2 linked regions of the Arabidopsis thaliana genome follow. The protein of the gene in region 1 interacts with the protein of each later gene in a pairwise test. Each region holds a gene or a part of one and is shown on either strand. Other genes may lie near its edges. The genes, in order: MT2A and AT5G10350.

Region 1 (3,961 bases):
ATTTATAAAATAGTTAGTCACAAAAATTGTACAAAACTAAAAAAGTCTTATGTGATTAACTATGATATGCCTAATGATTTGTGCTAGTGCCATTGTCGCATGTCGTAATTTTGTAATCGGGTCTTTTGTCACCTCTCATTTTTAAACCGGTATAATGCATGCATGTTATTGAAGAAAAAAAAGTTGTAATATACAAAATTTGTTATTTAATATTAAATTTGTAATACACATTTCAAAAGCCGGCTAAAACCGGCGAACCATCAAAACCCCGGTTCTTCAAGTTTTTAGTCTTTCACCATTGCTTTTTTGTGTTTTTTTACAGTAAAATTAGTTTTCTATCATTTGCATTGATTTATTTGATCTAAATATTGTGTGATAGAGAATGTGTTCTAGATTGTAATTGTACAATGATCCAATGGTATGACTCCGAAAAGAGTTTATGGACAACTTTGAAAAGTTTGGAAAAATGGCCTAGTTTTTTTTTATGTAAACTTGGTGAATTATGGTGGGAAAATGACAGTTGTATTGGTGGAGCATATGTTCGGTAAGAAGGTCACAAAAGTACAGTGTGCGAAAATTGCGATTGAAAAACGCCAAAAGAGAGAGATTTGGGGAATGGTAGAGTGGTTTGACATTTGTGTTTACAACCAATGGAGTCGTGCATGCTCTTGCTACTACCATTTGAAGGATTCATTCACCAACGTAAGGAATAAATCACTTTGTTTTTACTTTTTTTTAAAAAAAATTATTCATTAATTTTTGTCATATTTGAAATTCTAGAATTAATCCATAAAATTTTCGAACTCATTAACCAAGCCAAATAAATCCATAAAAAATTAATTCTTCAAAATTTAGAAACAATGGAGGACCAATGAAGAAAACCCAACGAACAAAGAGATTTAAAACTATAATATTATTATCATTCCACTGGAAGTACAAACTCATCACATGGCAGAGTTGCTAGACATCTAAAAGATATGATCAAAACAAACACAAAAGACAATGATCGGCTAAAAGATAAGCTGAAGCCATTATTACACATAAACCAAACCTAAAAACACCATCCTATATATGGTTTACTTATTGAATAACTTAATTAATTAAAGAGACTCGATTATCTCTGCTTATTTAAAAAGGCTTCTTCACTTGCAGGTGCAAGGATCACACTTGCAGTCAGATCCACACTTGCAAGCATCGTTCTCAGCGTTGTTACTCTCCCCTGAAGCCTCGTACTGATTCTTCATCGCCGGTGCAACGCCCAAGACAAAAGTCTCAGTTGTGGTTGTCTCGCCGGAGAATCCCAAGTCAGGGTACATTTTGCAACTGCAACAATCGAAAGAAAAAACCCATCAGTATCCTATGAAAACAGAGATCGTGTAAATTCAAAAGAGTTGTATCTTTTTACAAGAAAAATCTCCAAGAAACCATTCATCAAAACAAGATATCATCATCGATTCACAGTTGTTGCATACTTGCATGCAACGATTTCACCGGAAAATATAAATACAAACGAGACGTTGGAGACTTACCCTCCACAACCGTTGCCGCACTTGCAGCCAGATCCACATCCGCAGTTTCCTCCACAGCAAGACATTTTTCTCGAGAAAATTCAAATTGAAGAAAAATTTATGAATGAAAATTAATGATAGAGGAAGCTCCCAAATTTATAAGCTAAATGAGATTAATATTGACCATACATGTGTCGCAATCTTTCTCCGCTCTTATCTCCAAAACTAGTTCTTCATTTACGTCTTTACCCTCAGCGCATTGATTCTCGTACGTCGGTTCAATAATTGTCCAGTGTTCAAATAATTGTGGAGTGTTTGTGTGTCGTCGATTCTTGTACGTTCGAGAGCGTACCGATGTTCCGTGTGTTATGGTCTTATCACCGTTTAGATTCTCACCGCCTTTCATGCAGATCTTTATTCTACGGCTAGATCTATTAACCTCAGTCGTCCACTTGGTATTTCGTGTTTTTATAATAATCGTATATTTGGGTTTGTCTACACTAGATAAAATTAGCAGGAAAAATATCTAAAAATATCTATAAAAAAATTGTTTGATATTGTTAGACTTCTTTTTTGTCGTTTCTGATCAAAAGATAAATTACGTTGAAAAAGAGAAGGAGAAAATCTTAAAAGGGTGTTCAGTGTGTGTGGTCCAGAGAGAACGTAGCAAAATTCAGTTCCGAATTCCTTATCCTAGTTCATCAGAAAAGTAACTTTTTCTTTTGCTAAACCGATTTTGTTTGTTTAGTCAAAAGTGTATAACTATAGTTTATGAAAATATAAAATTTATGACTTTATTAGTGGCAAGCATATCTGCAAAAAGCAAAAATTACGTATACTACGAGTATTATAAAGTTCAAGTCTGTTATTTTCATTCACGGTAACTAAAGTTCGAGTTCAAAATTTGCGTTAGCTTTGCTAGTAGGATAGTTATATAAATTATTCTTACATTATATTTTTCACTAACAATAACGTATATGGGACACAAATGCAACATCGTTAAAATATGCTGAGTAACAAAATGGTAAAACCTCAGCGAAATCCAAAAAAAAAAAAAAAAAAAATCTATTCTAAAAAGATTGAATCAATTCTAAAAGTTACTTTAGTAAGAGTCTCTTCAAAAGATTAGTATTCACATGGAAGATCTCCAAATTCTTCCTTCAAGTGAAATCACAATCACAGAAACATCGTCATGATACCTCCGACGATCTCCTTGTGGTATCTCTAGCAATTCATGAAAGTCCATACCTAAAAAAAAAAAAAAATGCACGTGAGTTTAATCAAAGATTGCGTTTCGAATCTTAAGTGCGTTTGCGTTTTGTTCTTAGTATTACCATATTTCTTGGCAGCTCTAAGGAGGACTTCTTGAATGAGATGTTGAGCAGGATCGCCTTCAGGGAAGGCTGAGATGAATGAGTCAACCTCGAAGATGGCTTCCTCGTTCGAGAAGTATTCGTATAGTCCATCGGATGAGAGGATTAGGAATTTGTCACGTGATGAGAGTCTATGGTGGTGTAGCGACGGAGAGCACGTGATGTACGGCGATGTTCCGACGTAGTCTATTCTGAACATCTCTAGAAGCGCCTCGTTCCATTTTGGCTGAGGAAAGACATTGAACAAAACTATTATCAAATCGAATAAAAACAAACCAGGTTTTGTAATAGTATTTTTCTGCATTTTGATATTTCTACAAACCTTGTAGACCTAATAATCCAACCCTAAAAACTATAAAACATGCAAAATTTTGAAACTATCTGATTAAAATCATGAGTATATATATACCTGTTTAAGAAATCCAGCGCCAAATGCACGAGTGACTTTGAGATAACCTTTCACTCTATTATTCTCTATCGCTAATATATCATCAGGATGTTCCTTCTTGATTCTTCTCACTTCCTGTCACATCAAAAGATCGTTAGTGTCTAATGTTCGCAAAACAAAACACTGAATCAGGACTCGCAAAAAGATTCACCTCTTCAACACTTGTGCTATGTTCCTTATTGAGCTGAACAGGGACCAGAAGACTCAGTCCTCTTTCGGTGATGAACAAGGTCTCTAATGGACTTTCTTCTTTGACTCTCTCAAGCTCCTTTTGCATCTTCATTTTCTCGACATTAGGTCTTCGAGCAAGAACCGCTCGGCTATCTCCAACGCTCATCACGTAAACATCTTCTCCTTTCATCAATGTCACAAGAACGCAGGATCCCATCAAGGCTAATTCTGGATTCTCATTAACCATCAGATCAAACGATTCTTCTGTTTTCTCCAACGCTTGTTGAAGAGCTCTAAGAACGTCTTTGTGGTTAATATTATTAGACTTGTTGCTTGAGTTATGCTCCCACTCGCACCTCCATTGCAACTTCTTCACGTCACTCGTAATGTTTCTTGATCCACAAGCAACATCGTTTCCATTCATCACAGGGCAGTTTTCTTGATCCGAATCGGATGCATGC
Region 2 (5,261 bases), on another chromosome or scaffold:
ATAGTTACTATTTCACACTGCTAGGATCTGTTTATAGCTGATGCATTACTGGAATCTATGATGTTTACTGCGTTGGTCTGATATATAACCAGTTCTGAATCTGAAAATCAACATTGTCGATTTTGGTAAAGATATTGAGTTTCATTTCTGTTGTTTTGATGCAGCCGCGCCTTTTTCGACAAGAGGCTCTCTCAGGAAGTTAGCGGAGATGCTCTAGGCGAGGTGAAATTTTTTCTCCTGGTTCAGTGTTTTTTTCTGATGTCTTGTGAGTTCAGTATACTTAACAGAATTGTGTGTGTTTTGAGCTATTTGCAGGAATTCAAGGGATACGTATTCAAGATCATGGGAGGATGTGACAAGCAAGGTTTCCCAATGAAACAAGGAGTTCTCACTCCAGGGCGTGTCCGTCTTTTGCTTCACCGAGGTACTAGATTCCACCCCATTGATAAAATTATACAGCTTCTCTTTTTTTCATTAATCTTCTGTGTTTTTTATTTATGTGATCTGGTTATTGTGTTTAGGTACTCCTTGTTTTAGAGGACACGGAAGGAGGACTGGAGAGAGGAGACGAAAGTCTGTCCGTGGTTGCATTGTGAGCCCTGACCTGTCTGTTCTTAACTTGGTCATTGTGAAGAAGGGTGTAAGTGATCTTCCCGGGCTTACCGACACTGAGAAGCCAAGAATGAGAGGTCCCAAGAGGGCATCAAAGATCCGCAAGTTGTTTAACCTTGGAAAAGAGGATGATGTGAGGAAGTACGTTAACACTTACCGCCGTACCTTCACAAACAAGAAGGGTAAGAAAATTAGATTCACTTAAAGAGATAATTGAAAACTGTTTATACGATTGATGATTTACTAATATATGAGGCTTCCATGTGCAGGCAAGAAGGTTAGCAAGGCTCCTAAGATCCAGAGGCTTGTGACTCCATTGACCCTCCAGAGGAAGAGAGCTAGAATTGCTGACAAGAAGAAGAGAATCGCCAAGGCTAACTCTGATGCAGCTGATTACCAGAAGCTTCTTGCCTCCAGACTAAAGGAGCAGCGTGATCGCCGTAGTGAAAGTTTGGCCAAGAAGAGGTCTAGACTCTCTTCTGCTCCTGCTAAACCCGTTGCTGCTTAAACTGCCTCAAGATTAAGAAATTTCTTTCTCTCTAGTTTGTTTCTGGTCGTATTTAAGTTGCTCCACAGACATGAGAACGCCATTTTGAACACTATTTTTGGTTTCTGTTTTGTGTCAACTTTTCAAGCCTTTTATTATATCAAAGTTTTGAACCTCTTAGTAGTACGTTTGTTATATTTAGTTCTTATTTATATGCCCGTTTGTTGATAGTAAATGACCAGATGTCTTCATTATTAGATAAACTGATGACCTACCTTTAAAGTGTTTTTTCCAAAAAGTGTAATGTTTTGAACCAAAACTCAATCTCGATTAAACTCTTTTAATATGGAGACCCGTCGCTGAAGACTGACTCCTTTCTTCAAGCTGGTGTTGATCGGAGACTATGGAGTCGGAGAATCGCTTCTACTGTCTCCTTATGCCATCTTCGCCGAAATCCTCTGTTTTACAACAGTGGTAAGTAAAAAACTAAAAAGGTTGGAAGAAGACGAAGAACTTTGCTTAACTGCAATTAAAATTTATTTATTTAACAAATGGCTGTAGATATGTTTTGGGGAAAAGTCATTCTTATCAATACCTTTGGAATAATTTGGATCAAACTGTATCATATTTTTGTGGATAATTTGTCTCTGATATAAATTAATCTGATCCATATTATGCAGTATTATTTCACAGACCTCTTAATTTGGTCCATAAATTTAATTTGATCCATGATATAATTTGATAAATTATTCACAAGCCTGTTTCTTCCATAATGTTTGGGGCCTATGATGGGCCGAATTGAATTTTGAAGAAAAATCAAAACCTTCAGATTCAGTTAGAGTGTTATGATAATGGGCTCTTGTAAGTTTGTAACCGAGGCCCAATACGAGACGACGTCGTTGTTTGCAATCGACCTATCTGGATCGGTAGGAAAAGTGTGCAAGTCGTTTTCATTCACCAAAGCGAAGCTTTATTCGTTTGCTTGAGCTCCGAAGAGTGGAAACAAAAATGGAGGAAGAAGAGCACGAGGTTTACGGTGGAGAAATCCCTGAAGTCGGCGATACGGATGTTCCCGATCCGGATATCGATATGTCTGCAGCCGATGAGGACGCCGTTACGGTCTACTTCTGCTTCGTTCGATTTTGATTTTGTTGTATATCGTGTGTATACATCTGTTTGATTTTTGGTGTTTTGATTTCATGGAATCAGGAGCTTGCTGAGATGAAGAGGAGATTAAAGGAGATGGAGGAAGAAGCTGCTGCGCTACGAGAGATGCAAGCAAAAGTCGAAAAAGAAATGGGAGCTACTCAAGGTTTTGTGACTCTTTCGTTTTTTTTTTGAATTCGTTTGCTCGAGACTATCTTTGAATTTGATATACTAGGAGGAATCTGTTGATTGTGTAGATTACTTTTAGGAAATTGAACTTCTGTTTCTTGCTTAACAATTTGTTTCAGATCCTGCTAGTATGGCTGCAAATCAAGAAGGAAAGGAGGAGGTGGATGCTCGATCAGTTTATGTTGGCAATGTAAGATAGCTTATTTTCTACTTCATGGTATCTCTTCTGTGCTTGAATCATTGTTTCATCTAAACGGCTTTGATCTGTTTGCCAATCTTAGTGTGGATTAGCTTAGGCTGACTATTTTGTTAACTTAAATTTCATCTTTGATAAAAGAACTGCTTGCAATTGTGTCTTAGCTTTGTTCTTTATCCCTTGAGATTACTGTTAGAATCTGTATCAAGAGGCTTTCTCTAAATTTAATGTTGTGAAGTAGGTTCTTTATTGTTTCTAGTTGAAGAGTTTGACCTCTATGTCCTATATAATCGCAGGGTTGTTCTCATAAATGAAGTTCTTAATAGCTCTGGGTTCTCAACTAAGTTTTGTGACTGTTTTGCTAGTTTCCTTGTTGTAGTGTTAAAATCATTCTTCCCGTGCAATTTGATGATAAAAAAGCTATAAAAAAAATGTTGAAAGTAAAAAGAAAAGAGAAGGAAAAAAATTTGAAAAAAAAAAAAAAAGATATAGCAGAAAAATGTGGAGAAAAATATTGCATGAGCTTGAAAAAAAAAAGAAGGATTTCTTGAGAGGAAAAAGGGAGTCTGAGTGAGTTGGGTGGGATTAGAAAGCAAGGTTTCTGTTATCCTTGAGGAGATGGTCTCTGAACTCTGAAGAGCTGGATCAAGATGCCAAGATGCTGGATGCTTTCTAAACAAGACCCAAAGCTCCGCAGGGAGGATACTTGGAGCTAATACAGGTTTGGTTGTTTGCGGATTTCGCGAGAGGCTGCAGTTTGATGCTGGCCTTTTATCATGTATTTTTGAACTCACGCTCATAAAATGAAGACTTTCATAGCGTTTATGTACCATACATAACTTAGGTCTAATGTTAGACATGGAAAATTGCTTTAGAACACACAAGTTTGTCTCTTGGCTTCCCTTAGTGGGGTGGTTAACTTATCTATCTGTTACGTTCTCAGTAAGTCATGGTTTTAGTTGTAATAAGAATGCTTGTGTTGTACTAAGACCTCATTATCCACCCTGCAGGTCGACTATGCCTGTACACCTGAAGAAGTGCAACTACATTTCCAAACATGCGGAACAGTCAACCGGGTAACCATTCTAATGGACAAGTTTGGACAGCCAAAGGGATTTGCTTATGTGGAGTTTGTAGAAGTGGAAGCCGTGCAAGAAGCTCTGCAGCTGAATGAATCAGAGCTTCATGGTCGTCAACTGAAGGTATCTTCTCGTACTAAGACCAATACTGAAGGAAATGGACAGTTCATTGATCTCAACTCTTCTCTTTTGGTTTTCATTTCAGGTCTCGCCTAAGCGAACCAATGTTCCTGGAATGAAACAGTATCATCCTGGGCGTTTCAACCCTTCAATGGGATACCGCTTTCGCAGACCCTTTGTGCCTCCGTATTTTTATTCCCCATATGGATACGGGTAAGTTTAAACTCTGCATATTTACCATCAGTTTATCACAAATGGCTTTCTCTTCTTCGTCTCACGAGACTCGGCAATGCCTCGTGCAGGAAGGCTCCTAGGTTCAGAAGGCCAATGCGGTACATGCCTTACCAATAGAAACCGTACCGGAATAAGAAGAACTATGACAGAGATGATGCCGAGGTCGTCCCTCCATTTCGAGCTTTATATATGAATATGACTTTGCTCGCACCTGAACTTAATTTTGAATCTGTCATGTACGGATGAGATTATAAGCTTTTGTTTCTTTAGATTATGATTATATTTGGTCGATATTACTTTCAGTTTATATCTTTGTTAGTACTTTCTTTCATCCAAAGGGGGCTAAATAAGTATACCAACAAGAAGATTGATGTTACGTAGAGAAGCCTTTGTAAGAAGCTATTATGTTTCCGCAAAAAATCCCTTAGTCAGAAGCTAACCTTTACTAATCAATGATGTATGGTATAATCAAATCCCTTATTCCTTATAGTATTTGTTATCTTTTCGGTTTGGAGAATCGATGATTACAGAGTAAAAAAAAGAATAATGTTTTTTCTTCTCGTCATTAGTACTTTTGATGTATGGTATAATCAAAACATTAAATTTATGAAAATTTGTAATGTGATGTTGATATTGATAAAACATAGTAATTCATAACCCAGTGAGTAAACTAATCAGAAACTAGAATGCTTGGACAAATAACGACCAAAAAAGAATGCTTGGACAAATAACCAATCATTCAAGTCTACAAAATAGAAATTAAACTCGGGAAATAACAAACAACAGTTGCACAGCGATTAGATGTGTAAGGCAAATCATAAGATTTGGTATCTGGATCATGTGTTAGGAATGCATCCCCGTGTGTACTATCATAAAACAATAACTTGTCCTTGTCCAAAACTGCTAGTGGGGTGAATGCGAATATGGCACTAAAGAACAAAGAAGAGGTGATAATGAGGTCTATGGAATATATTTGCTTCCATGTCTTGTGGTCTGAATCATCCAACGACCATATGACTTGGTTGGGCCACTTTTGCTCGGATACGCACAAACGATCACCGAGGTTGCACATGACGATATAATATTCATCAGAGACATTGAGAAAGGGAGCTTTAGAGATGACTTGGAACGTTTCGGAGTGAAGATCCAAAGACAAAACCATGGTTTCGCCCTCGTGTGACAAGGCAGTGAACCAGTG

The links.
Region 2: the proteins of MT2A (region 1) and AT5G10350 interact in a protein complementation assay, tested with the Arabidopsis thaliana proteins (one study listed by BioGRID).

Annotation. Positions count from the first base shown.
Region 1 is NC_003074.8:2,888,595-2,892,555, forward strand, and holds MT2A (metallothionein 2A), read right to left. Parts: upstream 1,981-3,961; 5' UTR 1,595-1,980; coding exon 1,530-1,594; intron 1,324-1,529; coding exon 1,143-1,323; 3' UTR 812-1,142; downstream 1-811. Other genes in the region: PLL3 (pol-like 3), read right to left, coding at 2,641-2,756, 2,843-3,107, 3,291-3,404, 3,481-3,961. UniProt on the Arabidopsis thaliana protein: Metallothioneins have a high content of cysteine residues that bind various heavy metals. Functions as a metal chelator of copper (Cu) and zinc (Zn). Plays a role in Cu homeostasis, specifically in the remobilization of Cu from senescing leaves.
Region 2 is NC_003076.8:3,254,593-3,259,853, reverse strand, and holds AT5G10350 (RNA-binding (RRM/RBD/RNP motifs) family protein), read left to right. Parts: upstream 1-2,042; 5' UTR 2,043-2,107; coding exon 2,108-2,218; intron 2,219-2,308; coding exon 2,309-2,411; intron 2,412-2,553; coding exon 2,554-2,624; exon of another isoform or gene 2,625-3,640; coding exon 3,641-3,832; intron 3,833-3,914; coding exon 3,915-4,042; coding exon of another isoform or gene 4,043-4,046; exon of another isoform or gene 4,047-4,131; coding exon 4,132-4,180; 3' UTR 4,181-4,618; downstream 4,619-5,261. Other genes in the region: EMB3010 (Ribosomal protein S6e), read left to right, coding at 165-222, 316-424, 522-794, 882-1,120; AT5G10340 (F-box family protein), read right to left, coding at 4,809-5,261. UniProt on the Arabidopsis thaliana protein: Involved in the 3'-end formation of mRNA precursors (pre-mRNA) by the addition of a poly(A) tail of 200-250 nt to the upstream cleavage product.